3 linked regions of the Daphnia pulex genome follow. Each later gene encodes a partner of the first gene's protein in a complex. Links are inferred from orthologs where the notes say so. Each region holds a gene or a part of one and is shown in the gene's direction. Other genes may lie near its edges.

Region 1 (4,915 bases):
GCGGTTCTTGACTCCTCAGAGTGTGTGGATTAGGGGGAATTTCTTAAATTGATTCTTGGTGAGTAATTTTACAATTACCTTTGGCCAAATGTACGGGGAATATTTTTAGAACAAAGTAGAACCAATAGCGATCGAATGAAATTCAGAAAAAAAATTATAAAAAGTTAAAAACTGACTGAAGATTGCTTGAAACTGATTTGAAAATGCTAATTTTCTTTGAGAAAAAAACTGGAATTTGAACATTCATGTTTTTTTTATTTGCTTTTTTTTTTTTTTGCTTTTGCATTTTTGATTCTTCATTGTCTTGTTACCAAATGTTGACAGCCGCGGAGTTGTTAAACCGGAAAAGCTTGTCCGCTAGAAAACGAATGAATAGTCACGCAGCATTGCAGTACAAGAACAATTCTTATGGCAAAGATAGATGATCCTCCTACGTGGTTCGGACCACCGAAGGAAATATCCTTTCTGAACAAGAAGGACTGAAACTATCCGCCAATACAACATAAAAATGTTAGAAGTGAAGAAGGAAGTGCAAAAAAAAAAAAAAAAATGGGCATCCGCGGCTATATTAATGCGTGACTCGGTAATTCCTGATCAAGTAACCAGTAATCTTCGTTCGAGAAAACAACTCCTTTTCATCGGCAGCTAGAAGAAAAATTCAACACAATGAAGTACTTATTGGTATGATCACTGTTACATTTACTTTGTATCTGTTACACCTGTATTATATTTAGACATAGGCCGTAGAATCAATTTAAATGGAATTCATTTGGGATGTAGTGCAGCGATTTATTGAAATAGTATTTCATGTATTCTATTTCCTGAATGATTTTTAAAAATTCGTATTTAAAGCCTTGCCTCTAAGCTACCAAGCGGCCAAAAGCACGGCGAAAGTGATTTTACCAATAACAAATTATGACTGTGTATACTCTTTGATAAATATTTAATGAAAATGCGTTTGATTTCAATAGGTGAAGATTTTTATTGTGGTAGCCATCATTTCGCTGGCTAATTCCCAGCAGAGTGCTTCAAAAACAACGCCCAAAACTGTTAAACAGGTATCGACGACGGCTAAGCCCATGGCTGGTGCTGCTACGACTGTTAAGCGTTCATCGACAACGGTTAAGCGCGCAGGAACAACAGCTAAACCGAGAACAACTACTGTCAAGCGGGCAGGAACAACAGCTAAACCGAGAACCACTACTGTTAGGCGTGGACCTGCACCCACAACTGCCAAGCGCGCATCTACAACACCTAGACCTAGGACCACTACTGTCAAGCGCGCACCTACAACTGCTAAGCGCGCGTCCACTACGGTTAAGCGCACAGCCACGACCAAGAAAGTTTAAATGATTCAATTCCGGCCATCATTTTCTTTGTTGTTTCTTCAATCTTTACATATCTATAGGCCCACAGTTAAACATTCCATCGTTGTTTCGAATATGAGCAGGCCGTCTCTTTCTGAGTAATACGACTCAATTTGCTATTCTTATTTAATTGGCAGTGATATTTAGTAAATATAATATGCAGAAATCGTTTGTTATCAATATTATTTCATTTACGATTTTATTTCCGTACAACCAAATACTATTTGCTTGTGTTTTATAGGGATTTGAAGATTTACGTAAGCTTTGGCAATCAAGCGTAAATCTTGAGACGGTTGTTAAAAATTTTTGGAAAGGAAATAAAATAAAATTAACAGAAATGCTTTACAAATTTATATGTAAAAAAAAATGTTTGGGAACTTCTGTGTTCAACAGTAGAATTACACATGAGTACACTTTTCTAAGTGTGCATTATAATATTGTTTTGGTCTTCCCTCGCTAGCAATGAAAACGGCTTTTCCTAAATAAAAAAAAATAAATTGAGATGAAAACATAATTTTGATTGGTATGACGCGGGAACGATGGAGAACCTAGTACGTAAGTCATACTTCTCTTAGGAGGAATTTGCGACATTTAAAGCAAACCAACATTGTAGAAAGATAAAGTCTATACATAGTAATTAATAATAGTAATTGATAAAGCTGGATAAAGGTTAAAATAAAATGATAAATATTGAACTTTATACAGTAGATAATTAACGTTGGCAACGTTGGGAATTACGGCTAATGTTTGGTATTTTTTCGTCTGCACACACTCTGCAGACAACCCTTAATATGACGTGGCATTCGGTATAGTTTCTTGTCGCAAAATATCTGGCGTTCCCGATTATTTGGATTTCAAAGACGAAAACGGATGAATTTTTCGAGAGATAAATTTTTGACGGATGATTACTCGAAGACGCCGGCAAGGCTCTGAATCGGAGCATCAGCCGCTTGCTGAAACCCAACTGCAAAACCAAGTCCTGAAAGGCTCTTCATCCGTTTTACTGTGGTCGGGAGAAAGTCCTCAACAGCAGCCATCCTTTTTCATTGTTCCGCAGGGTGAAATAGGTGCATTTGTTGCACCAAATTATTCAACAGATAAATTTGTAGATGTTCAAGCAAAAACCAACAGCGCTGACATGATGGCCCTAGCATCTAATTCGAGTTCATCAGTTCTGTCTTCCACCAATGCTTCTTCACGTGATCGGACTGCAGAGTTTCTCTCTGCAGTCAGAAGCTTCCAGAGTAGGCCAGTTAACGGAGTAGTTGGGAGGCCGAGTCAATCACATCCATCTAAGAATACAGATCAACATCAACAGTACTCTGAATTCATGAAAGTGGCAAAGTAAGTTGTCGACTTTTAAGAAAATATTTGCAACTATTGAAAATATTCAAATTTTTTTCTGTACAGAGTTATTAGTAAGGATTTGAGCAACACATATGCAAAACTGGAAAAACTAACTCTATGTAATTAGCTTTGTTTTTAATTTCTACTGTTCAACCAATCATTTCATGGTTTCACATTTATGCTTGCAGTGGCGAAAAAACGAACGCTATTTGATGATCGTCCTCAAGAGATCCAAGAACTGACTTACATCATCCGTGAAGATATCACAAATCTGAACAAACAGATTGCTCATCTGCAAGGATTCATGAAAAAGCAACAGAATCAACAACAAAATACCAAGGCCCATTCAGCAAATGTCGTTGTAGCTCTTCAGTCGAAGCTAGCCAATATGTCTTCTGAATTCAAACAAGTCCTTGAAGTCCGCACTGAGGTACACGCCTTTCCTAGTTTAAAAAATAACTACTAGATTTTATTATCTAGGATATTCAGTAAAATGAATGTTTTGAAAATATTTTAGAATCTTAAAGCCCAGAGAAGCCGTCGAGAACAGTTTTCTGGCTCCGTCCCAGTCGTTTCTGATTTACCGGCTGCAGCCTTGACAGGAGGACCGTTTGGATCCTCTCAAAATGGTTCTAAAGGATCTGTTCTACTCCGTGATGCTGCCTATCAAGCCCATGGAGGAGAAGCAGTAGCTATCGACATGGGTGCCGCTGACAACAGAACCAACAGGAATCAAATTCAGCAGCAAGTGTTTGCCGACGAAACAGAATCTTACCTGCAAAGTCGTTCTGACGCAGTCCAAAGTATAGAATCCACTATCGTGGAGTTGGGCGGAATTTTCCAGCAACTGGCTCTCATGGTTCGCGAACAAGAAGAAATGGTTCAGCGGTAATAATATTAATTATTTTAGAATATGTTATAACAAAGAATTTATGGAAATATTTTTCTTCGTGTAGGATTGACTCGAATGTCGACGATGCCCAACTTAATGTGGAAGCCGCTCATGACGAACTCTTGCGTTACTTTCGTTCCGTCTCTTCTAATAGGTGGCTGATGCTAAAAGTCTTTGGGGTTGTCCTTGTGTTTGTTGTAATATTCGCCATCTTTTTTGCTTGAAAATTATCTAAAGTACGATTTCCAATTCATTTACCAATACAATTTTCGATCCTAATGAATTTAAAACTCACGGTTCGTTTCTCCATTGTGCTTGATTAACGAATGTAGATGTGCCCTCTGACGAAAATGTTGCCCAGCAGACTTCTGGTGATTTTCATGATGAAGTTATAAACTGTGATGTATTAAGAATAAAATTCAATAGTAAAATATCAGAAGAATAAATAAATTCTAATCTATATTTGACATCTTCAATATTATAGCTAGCCAGCTAGTATTTTTTTAAATTGCATTCCAATTCCATTCATTTCCGTCAGCTGTATTTTGAAAGGTTGTTTAGAATCACCCTCTGATCTAAAAAAATACCGCAACAATTTTCCCAAAGTTTAGTACTAGCCCGCAGTTCTGAATCTTCGAGTGTGTGCTCTCTTACTCCGAAGAGGGGCGTCCCTAAACTGCGAAAGCGAAACGCGAAACGCGAAACGCCTAAAATGCGAAACAGCTGTGCGAAACGGACCCAAAAGTTGAGACCCTGTTTCGCATTTTAGTCTTTGGGTCCGTACTAAACTGCGAAATCGGTGTGTGCGAAACGTCGCAGTGTAAACGTCTTGGTAGCAGACGACAATGGACGCCGTCAACAAACAAATTGTTAAGAGTTTCAAATTTTCGAGTTTCGCGCACCTTATGGCTGGTCTATTTGTGTGTTGACCATGAATACGAAATACCTTGAATGCAATATGTAATAGGTGTTTTAATTAGAAGATTGGTATAAAAAAATTAATGGAACTTCTCGTTTCCATACTGTATCAGTATCAATCAGATTAACATTCTTAATTTTAAGGAAAGTTTTAGCTGATTAAATTTTAGCTTGATTTGGAACATGGTAGCTTTGACTTTTAGCTTGATATAAGGCACTCATACTGTTATGGCCGATTCTTTCTTTGTGCACGTACCTACTGGTTGATTTAAATTATTTAATGTAATCCGATGTAATCCCTGGGCCATTACCTAATATTTTATTATTTAAAAATATCACCATAACGTGCTGCTCTATGTCTTTCATTAGTTTAATAATCGTAAAATGCGCA
Region 2 (3,928 bases), on another chromosome or scaffold:
TAGCATGATGAATATGTGTTTCCTGTGTTTCTGACAAGCATGAAGTCATACCATGAGTCCCTGATCCATACAATGATAGTAGTAAATAAGGTCATATTGAATTAGAACTAAAATGTTTTTACATTCAGGTCACTTGATCAATGATGTCCCGGAGATGCCTTTGGTTGTGTCGGACAAGGTTCAAGAATACAAAAAAACCAAACAGGCCGTCGTGTTGTTGCGCCGTCTTCGCGCATGGACTGATGTCCAGAAGGTTTGTTTCTAGATATTTATGTATAATTATCACGGGAAAATGATGAGTTGCTTCTTGGTCTGTGTTTATGAGTAAATGATTTCACCTTAGAGCTCTGAACAAAATCTGAGTCATGAATGATTTTATGTGTGAACACCGTCTAATTAATCTGATTTCTTACAGGTTTACAAGACCAGGCGTTTCCGCGCAGGTAAGGGTAAGATGCGCAACCGTCGCCGTACCAGCAAATTGGGTCCACTGGTCATCTATGGCAGAGATCAGGGTTTGACCAAGGCTTTCCGTAACATCCCCGGAGTTTCTATGATTTCAGTAAACAAACTGAACCTCATGAAGCTTGCTCCTGGTGGTCATGTTGGCCGTTTCTGCATCTGGACCGAGTCTGCTTTCCAACGCTTGAACGCCCTCTACGGTACTTGGCGTCAGAAGTCTAAGCTGAAGAGCAACTACAACTTGCCTCAGCCCATCATGACCGGAACAGATTTGTCTCGTTTGTTGAAGTCTGATGAAATCCAGAAGGTTATCAGACGACCAAGGCAAGCTTTCTTTTTAATCTTTATTATTGATTAATTAATGATGAAAACCACATTTAGAGCATTGGGTTATGAATCTTTGTGATTAGCAAATTAATCTGAACGCAGTTTATCATTCAAGTGATACTGTCTGGTGCAAAGATGACTAATCGATACAATTTAAATTACAGGAAGATGATCCGTCGTGCATCTGTTAAGCGCAATCCTCTTACCAACATGAGAGCATTGATGAAGTTGAACCCGTACTCCGCCGTGATTAAGAAGTCTGCCGCTGCTGTTGCTGAGGCCCGGAAGAAGAGCAAGACTGCTTTGCTCGAGAAGAAGCGCGAGGTAATTTTGTTTTCTGTGAATGTTTGTATGTCTTAGATAGTTTTTCGTTTGATTTCTGTTTGAATTGTTAAAATTGTATTACCGCATGTGAACGTAACTTAATGCATGCCACATTGTTTAACATGTACAGGCGAGTGCTACCAAGAAGGTAGCTGCCTAGCCTGCGAGTGAGCGCACACAGCATGGTTTATTGAGCTAATCAACAGATGTTTTTGGTGAGTTGTCCATCGTAGTGAGAATCTGATTTGGAAAATAGTCCAAGTTCTAATTTGTATATCCATTCTACAGTCAGTAGTACCCGTACCAAATTTACCTGTTGAAAAGCCGAAAGAAGAAGCGCCCGTTCAAGCACCGGTCCAAGATGTCAAACCAACTCAACCTCCTCCTGTTGAAACCCCTAAGCCAACACCACCAGAAACAAAGAAAAGCAAGAAATCCAAGACGGCTGCAAAGGATTTGCAAGTAGAACCGATGGATGTAACACCCGCGTCCGTTGTTGAGGTGAAGACTGCCCTAGCTCCAGCTAAGGAACCATCTCCGCCAATCGTTACCATCCCTGAACCTGTAGTTAAGGTGGTAACACCAGTCGCTACTCCTGTAAAAGGAAAATCGCCACCAGTCGTTCCTGCCCCAACACCGATTGCTGTCCCGGAAGTGAAGCCGTTGGAAAAGGTTCTTGCTGCTCCCGTTGAAGCTATCCCATTAGAAGAAGCTTCTGTTCCCGAATCAGCTGCTGATAAGGGATCGAAAGCCAAGAAAGCAAAGGGGAAGAAAAATAAGAAGGAATGAGTGACATCATTGAACCTGTGCCTGTATGACGTTTTTTCTGTGACATCTGAATAAACCTTCTGCAGGCTGAAATGTGTTTAATTTATCTTAATAATTAGCTATTAAATGTAAATGTCATGGAAATGCTAATTCTCGCCGTTTGTGGCGCTGTCTTCAATGTTTTGTCAGATGGTGTTTTATACGTCAAGTCTACAATACATTCCTTGTCTTCGTCCTGATAGCAAGGTATCGTATGTAGTGCTCAAATAGGTTCAGAATTGTGCTACAAGAAACAGAAATGAGCTCAGAGAAATTTGAAACTCTGGATGAAGATGTACAAGTTTTGTTCGAAATTCTGCAAAGAAAGTGTTCCGGTAAGCTAGAACAATGTTTTGGCGAAGAAAAAAAGCAAGTTATTGCCGATGTCGAAAGAGGACTAGATGAAGCTAAACAAGCAATATTTGAAATGGAAGCTGAAGCTAGAGCAGCTCCTGGCTCTTTTAGGATGGACATGATTGGCAGGTAAAAATGTGAATGTCTTAAGTTTACACAGCAAACAATACATGTAGTAAAATTTCAACTAATGTTTTTTTTATCATCCAACTTCAGAGTACGAAGACATCAGGACACCTGTTCCAAACTTGCTCTATTGATCAATTCTTCCAAGCAATCAGAAATGTCTCTGGCCTCATCAAGAGGAAAACTGTTGGAAAACCAATCCACTGCTGCATTTAGCCAAAACCGGGGCATTGATAATGCTCTTCAAACAACTGTTCGCCAAGGAACTGCAGTTCTGGAAAGAACATCACAGAGCCTCTACAGAACTACTCAGGTTGCTTTAGAAAGTGAAGAGATTGGCACTGGAGTTATTCAAGAATTAAGTCAACAAAGAGAAGTGCTTGTTCGTACAAGAGATAGATTGACTGAAACGGATGCAGAGCTGGGAAGAAGTAGAAGAATCCTTAAGTCAATGTCTCGTGTTGCTATGACTAATAAGCTTGTCCTAATTGTCATCATTCTGTTGGAGATATGCATTTTGACAGGTTTAGTTTATTATAAATTTTTTTCTTGAAATTATTGTCCTCAAATTCTTAACATACCTCATCAAAAATGTAACTAATAGTGTTAGTGCCTTGAATTTGTGTAAAAGCCGATACAAAAATATAATCATGCGCATAGCGACCAGTATTTTTTTCCCCTTGCGTGCGCAAAGGATTTCCTAGCGGCCTTCGTACGCAGACGGAGTTACGAACCCAACCTCTGGCTTTCAGTTCCATTTGACAGAAGCTCTTCCTGTGTCATGGCGTGCTATACGTGTATTTAAAGTTTTTGCGTTTGCCAACGAAATCTGAGATTTTTCTAAGTTGTTCGTGCTTCGACATCGACAGTTAAAATGGGGTAAGTTGTGCATTTATTGATTCTGTATAGTCTTAAATGAAAAATCGATTCGTACCATATATCCACGTAGCAACAGCTGGATGCTGAGCACCACTGTCAAGTCTGAATTCAAATTTACTGTAATTAAAAGGGTATATGTTTCAAATATTTGTATTTTGGACTATGGAATTAGACAAATAAGAATTTTCCATTAGGGTGTATAAATACCATTAAGCTAAAGTGTAAATCAATATTGAAGTCACAGACTCACTGAAGTGTCCCGTCATTCAAATGTTAAAAAAGATTTTATTAATATCTTGGCTGTAAATATAGCATTCATATTTTCAAACTAATAAGCTAAGCTGCATCCAAGTTTTCAACCTGTACTAAATTCTAAAGTTGTATTGAGCTAAACTTCGAAGCTGAATGACTTGTGCCTCTAGCTACAGCCCAGAAGGATTGTTGCGAAATGTTATTCTCAACTCAAGCAATAGATTGTTGCTTTAGGTGATACATCAAAGTAATATTTCATCCAGCCAGAAAACTCTTGATATTGCTAGGATGCTAGGCCCACTGTTAGTGGGATTTTAGTCACACAATATTGATTTACTTTGAAACATGCAAGCCCCATTCAGACAATTCCAAAAGCACAAACATTCAACAATGATAA
Region 3 (5,222 bases), on another chromosome or scaffold:
AAATGTGGGTGAGGGTGACTTACATTAAAAGCGAATCCGGTTAAGTATTGGGGTCTAGAAGGTAATCCATCCATCCAACGACTGGAGTGACGAATGCCAAGAATTTCGTCATTCCGGTGATGACGCCTGGATGAAGTTCTGTCAAAATAAAATAATAGTTTAATAAGCATGTTTCAAAACTTCCTTGAGAGATTAACATAATAAACCGAATACCCATTTAAGTCTGGGTTGAATTGGATTCGCTCATTTGTAGCTATGATTAGGAAACGGCTGATATTAAACGAAATAGAACTAAACGATACGTCAACTAGCAAACTATTCAAGAAACGTTTGGTGAGTGCCCGACTCTCACTCGTAAGACCCATACAGTTTGTCAGAAGGAGATTTTGGATATAATGTATCGAGTATTGTCTGGAACGAAGAATTAAAACTGTTGGTCACCAGTTCAGACGATATTTGGATCAAGGTGTGTCCCAGAATTTAAATGGTTATTTAGAATTGAATGTTTAACTCCTTCACTTTCAAATAATTGAACGCAGAATTGGTAATTGGAAAGAGAGGATCCCAATATCCCATACGCATGATAGAATCCAGTTCTTCTTGTTGCGAATAAATTTGGAGTCCAATTCCCATCCAGCGTAATCGTGCAAAGAGCGAAGGAAAAACCTTTTTTAGTCGGGTCAGATTTCATTCATCTAATATCCCAGTGTCCCAAATCGATTATTTAATTAAGCGTAAGAGCTCAATCGCCTTTTTCTGATCTTTTTTCAGAGGGTTAGATAACGGATCAATTTTTGTTTGGTCGCCAACGGAAAAGGAAATACAACCAAGTTTGTTTTTCGATTGACATTCCCACGATTTGCATAAAATCTTATTTTCGCCAAACAGACGCTTTCTGGCATCGACCGGCTATGAAGGAAAATTGGTTATCTGGTCCACCAAGGTAAATTTGAAGGTAAAACGAGTGAAAGACTGGATGTCTTAAATTTCTCGCAAGGTGTTTAGAACTGGGAACAGATCATGACACCTTTTACCACCATCAGGGTTTCACCACCGGTGCCCAAGCCCAAAACTCTCAAACTAAACCTGCTCAAATAAAACAAACAACAAAAGTAATATCCACCAACAACGTAAAAATAATAAAATAAACTTTCACGAGGAAGCAATGTAGACTCACCATGAAAAGAAACCTCATGGGATGCATATTCTGATGTCTGTCGAAAAAAGATATAAACTGACTGGCACTGCATGGTGCAAAACCCTCCTACAATCCTTTCGTGCCATAGTTGATATTGTCATTTAGTGAAACAGTTCACAAATAGTTACCTTTCATCAAGTACCCAACACGTTACAATTCTAGAATAAGTCAGGCGCCATATTTTTCGTACAAATACTGCAGACAAAGGGATGTTTACCTCATCAGCATGTGTGTCACTTCCAGCCTGGTGCAGATTCAATTCACCACCGAAAATGTTGGTCACAGATTTTGCAAAGGAATCACAATGAACAGTACAATCTTTAAAGTAATATCACGCTGCTCAACACAAATGAAGACGATGGATGCACACTTTCGAACATTGTTCACTGTTCAGTGAACTTGTGAAGTAATGGCAGTAATGGTGTGCTCTCGAAGACGAATAGCTCGTCGTTCATGGGAATGGCGCCAAAGAAAAAAATACATTGCAACGAACTTGGCAAACGACTGGTAGATGGCGGACTAAGTTCCACAACAAACTGACGACGAGGACGTTTGAAAAATAGAACGGCTGTTGAGTGTTGGCAGATTTTTGCTCAAAAATCATTGTCAAACGGTAAGTTAAACAAATAAATTATAAAGAATATACATTACTTATTCAAATCAAAATATTTGTTGTTGGAAACACCGATCATGATGGATATCACGTCCCTGTTCAAGGTCTCCATCAAGACGGTCCGGACACGCAATAAAGCTAGCTGAAAACTGAAGACCCAAATTGCATTTTCCCACGACCATCCAAACATTTTTCAAAATTCCAAACGAAAGCCAAAGAGATTGTCTCAAATGTGGCCAAGTTGAAAGAGTTTTAGACAGCTAGAATTGAAAAGCAATCACGCTCGTGATGTGAGTGAACGGATTAGATAAACAAAATACCGTGATATCGGCAAAAGAGATGCCTATCAATGGACTCTGAGAAAGTTGTTATAATGTATCATTGGTTGTTGAAAGATAATTGAAATCAATTAAGTTGTCGGGAAAATGAAAAGACACGAGTTTTTCAAGTTTACTTTCTTTTGGGGTTATTTCAGTGGGTAAAAAAAATATAGTGGGTGTGGAGAGGAAAGTCGTATGGTGTGAGGTAAGGGGAGTGAGAAAAGATTTTTGTCAAAGGATTAGTCAAAATGCAGTTGCGTATCGAAAATTACAGCTATTTTAGCAACCTCGAGACAAGTTTGAAAAACAAAAAAGATTCCAGACAGAAAAAGTCAAGGTAAATTTTCCTACGACCCCGTTCAAATCCACCCCCTTCTTACCCCCTTGAACGTTTCTCTTTTGTTTTTCAGTTTTACTTTTCCAGTTCCATCTTCTTTAATTGCCACTTCAGTTTCAACATTCTTCGAGGCATCGTGCTGCCAGTCTCTTTAAATATTACTCATCTATCTGCGCATCGGTGAAATTTTTAAGATTCTAAACTCTATGGATATTCCAGCTTTAACGCTGTAAAATAATGTTTCGTTCATTTTAGTTCGCTACTTCTAAACGTGGTTTTACACTTCCGTTCGTCACTAAGGAGAGAGAAAATGACAGATGCTGTAAACTCACCAGGGAAAGGTAAGACAAATATTTATAAACTTGTCCATCGTTTTTAATCAATGTCTGATGTCCCATCCAGGTTTTTTCAAACCAGTTGAGTTCTCAATTACGAGTAAACTAGATGTGAGAAGTTCCAGTTTCCACCCCATCGATCCTGTTCTGGCGTGCGGCTTAGTTCAAGGAGGATTAGTTTTCCTTCGGGGAACTAATCACTCCACACCGTTTGAGAATTGGGAGATTGAACCCGTATACAGCCGATACGAAAGGACAATTTTATCCGTCCAATGGAACGTAAGTCTGTGAATCAAATAATTGTGTCCGTGTTTCACCCCATCAAAATCGTGTGCTAAATGTTACAGTGTTAATCCTAAGTTTCTATTTTTGTTTTTCTGTTTGGCGTAAAGGTCAATGGAACTAAAGTAGCTGCTGGCTCCGATAATGGGACTGTCATTATTGTGTCTTATCCAGGCTGTGGCAAACAAACATTCCGAAGAAATGGACGATCGAATTTCCCGTTAATTTTTTGGCATCCATTTAACCGGGACATGTTGGCTAGTTATAACAGTGCGGTAAGTGAAAAAAAAAAAACAATATTCATGTGCTAACTTAGTAGTTTGTTTAAGTAATGCGGGAAGGGAGAATTTCAAATTAAAAGTCGGTGTACACGAGAAACATTCACATTAATTTATTGTTCACCAGAAATTTTAAGTTTTAAAATTGTATCTCAAGTTGGACACAAACGAGGTGATGATTGCCAATTCAGCAGCTGAAAACCTCCTCACCCACACCATCAAATCAAAATGGAACTGTCAGACCCTGGCCTGGAACTCGCACAATCAACTCGCCTTTGGTTACGACGATGGAACGTTTGAAATTCACGAAATAGAATTGAATAACAGTCAAATGAAAAGCCGAATGGTCCAGAAAATCCGTCACGATCTGGGTGATCATGACAAAGCTGTTCACCATTTTTCGCTTATGAATTCCAGGGACAATTTTTCGCTTATGAACTACCAGGGCCAAACACGAACTTTCGTATCGAGTATCGCCATTAACAAAGAATTTGAACTTTTGGCTTCAGGTGGAACAGACTTTCGAGTCAAGGTATTAGAACTACATACGTTATATTTATTGGATTTTAATAGTCGATAGACAATTATTATTGTCTAAGTTTTTAAATTTAAATGAGTCAATATTTAAACAATTTTAATTGCAGATTTGGTCATTGGGCAGTAAAGATCCTATTCTTGTGTTGGATGTCGATTCCAATTGCAGAAATTTGGTATGGAATTCTGGCATCAAAGAAGAGATGACGACAAAAACTTTTATTGCATGGTTAGACTGCCTAGATTATTTTAATCAAGTTTTAAAAGATGCAAGTTTAAATTGACATTCTAATAACCACAGCTTTTTAATTGGCTTTTATTCAGCGGATTAGAAAGTGGAAACGTTGTAATTTGGTATCCATTTGATCATGAAATTCAGACACGAAAACTTACAGGACATGATCAGATCCATCAATTAATACTTTCACCTGACGGACGCTATCTCGCAACAACAGACTATTACAAGAAAGTGATTATTTGGTCTACAAAGGTAAAATATTTTTGATAGAAATTCTTAGTTGGATCAAACGCGACTCACGTACATTCTTTTCCCGCAATTTCTTTTTTAAATGAATTTTCAGAGTTGGAAGAGCATATACATTATACCCTCATCAGAGTATATGTATCCATACATGATGACATGGGACGCGGCCAGTTGCAAGCTAGCAATTTCAGAGAGAACAGGACAGAGACAGGTAAAATAATGCGTTTCATTCATCCAAATTTCAACAAATTAATGTTAATAAATAACTTCTCATCTCTGTGATTCAAACAGTTTAAAGTGATTGAATACTTCGTTGCCGAAAACTGCTGTGCTGGCTGCAAGAAAATGTCTCAAAATCTAAAGCGTTGCGCTCGCTGCAATTCAATCTTCTATTGTAGCAAGGATTGTCAGCGTTCACACTGGCCCCAACACAAACTTGTTTGCAATCAAAATGAATAAGTTTTGATCGAATTTTCCAAGGCAAAAGATTGAATGTAATCAACAAATTCTTCTGTTAGCAGTCCCCCTCTATGGCATGTATCTGAATTAGGAATACGAAAAATAATCCCCCAACTTCTTTCTCATTTATTTTTTGTTTTCTGTTCAATCAATAGAGCATCAGCAATCAAGGAAACAACAATTGTTAATGCTCTCTTGCAGTGTTGCTCATATATCTTGGAATATGAAAGGTTAAGTTTGAAATCGGTGAAATTTTGTTAATTCTAAATACAAAAGTTATTACGTCATTTGTCATGTAACTCAGCAATTAACAAATTCTTTCGAGATTGAAAACCCAGAGTATACATCTTCAACACGTGTTTGTACATTTTTATTCGTTTCG

Evidence for each region.
Region 2: syntaxin-5-like (region 1) and vesicle transport through interaction with t-SNAREs homolog 1B-like share a complex: the UniProt entries of both Homo sapiens proteins name them as parts of the SNARE complex. The link is inferred for Daphnia pulex from reciprocal best matches to the Homo sapiens genes STX5 and VTI1B.
Region 3: syntaxin-5-like (region 1) and syntaxin-18-like share a complex: the UniProt entries of both Homo sapiens proteins name them as parts of the SNARE complex. The link is inferred for Daphnia pulex from reciprocal best matches to the Homo sapiens genes STX5 and STX18.

The regions. Positions count from the first base shown.
Region 1 is NC_060017.1:4,340,692-4,345,606, forward strand, and holds syntaxin-5-like, read left to right. Parts: upstream 1-2,114; 5' UTR 2,115-2,268; coding exon 2,269-2,711; intron 2,712-2,777; coding exon 2,778-2,833; intron 2,834-2,902; coding exon 2,903-3,144; intron 3,145-3,231; coding exon 3,232-3,602; intron 3,603-3,670; coding exon 3,671-3,830; 3' UTR 3,831-4,068; downstream 4,069-4,915. Other genes in the region: proteoglycan 4-like, read left to right, coding at 667-681, 972-1,349. UniProt on the Homo sapiens protein: Mediates endoplasmic reticulum to Golgi transport.
Region 2 is NC_060018.1:4,117,230-4,121,157, forward strand, and holds vesicle transport through interaction with t-SNAREs homolog 1B-like, read left to right. Parts: upstream 1-2,065; 5' UTR 2,066-2,179; coding exon 2,180-2,403; intron 2,404-2,490; coding exon 2,491-2,953; 3' UTR 2,954-3,063; downstream 3,064-3,928. Other genes in the region: uncharacterized protein LOC124189006, read left to right, coding at 129-253, 416-786, 954-1,113, 1,402-1,902; homer protein homolog 2-like, read left to right, coding at 3,275-3,279. UniProt on the Homo sapiens protein: V-SNARE that mediates vesicle transport pathways through interactions with t-SNAREs on the target membrane. These interactions are proposed to mediate aspects of the specificity of vesicle trafficking and to promote fusion of the lipid bilayers.
Region 3 is NC_060027.1:1,471,113-1,476,334, reverse strand, and holds the start of syntaxin-18-like, read left to right. Parts: upstream 1-1,778; 5' UTR 1,779-1,811; intron 1,812-2,521; exon of another isoform or gene 2,522-2,648; intron 2,649-2,723; exon of another isoform or gene 2,724-2,778; coding exon of another isoform or gene 2,779-2,809; intron 2,810-2,870; coding exon of another isoform or gene 2,871-3,082; intron 3,083-3,195; coding exon of another isoform or gene 3,196-3,360; intron 3,361-3,520; coding exon of another isoform or gene 3,521-3,895; intron 3,896-4,007; coding exon of another isoform or gene 4,008-4,126; intron 4,127-4,221; coding exon of another isoform or gene 4,222-4,387; intron 4,388-4,478; coding exon of another isoform or gene 4,479-4,592; intron 4,593-4,672; coding exon of another isoform or gene 4,673-4,840; exon of another isoform or gene 4,841-5,127; intron 5,128-5,222. Other genes in the region: F-box-like/WD repeat-containing protein TBL1X, read left to right, coding at 2,779-2,809, 2,871-3,082, 3,196-3,360, 3,521-3,895, 4,008-4,126, 4,222-4,387, 4,479-4,592, 4,673-4,840. UniProt on the Homo sapiens protein: Syntaxin that may be involved in targeting and fusion of Golgi-derived retrograde transport vesicles with the ER.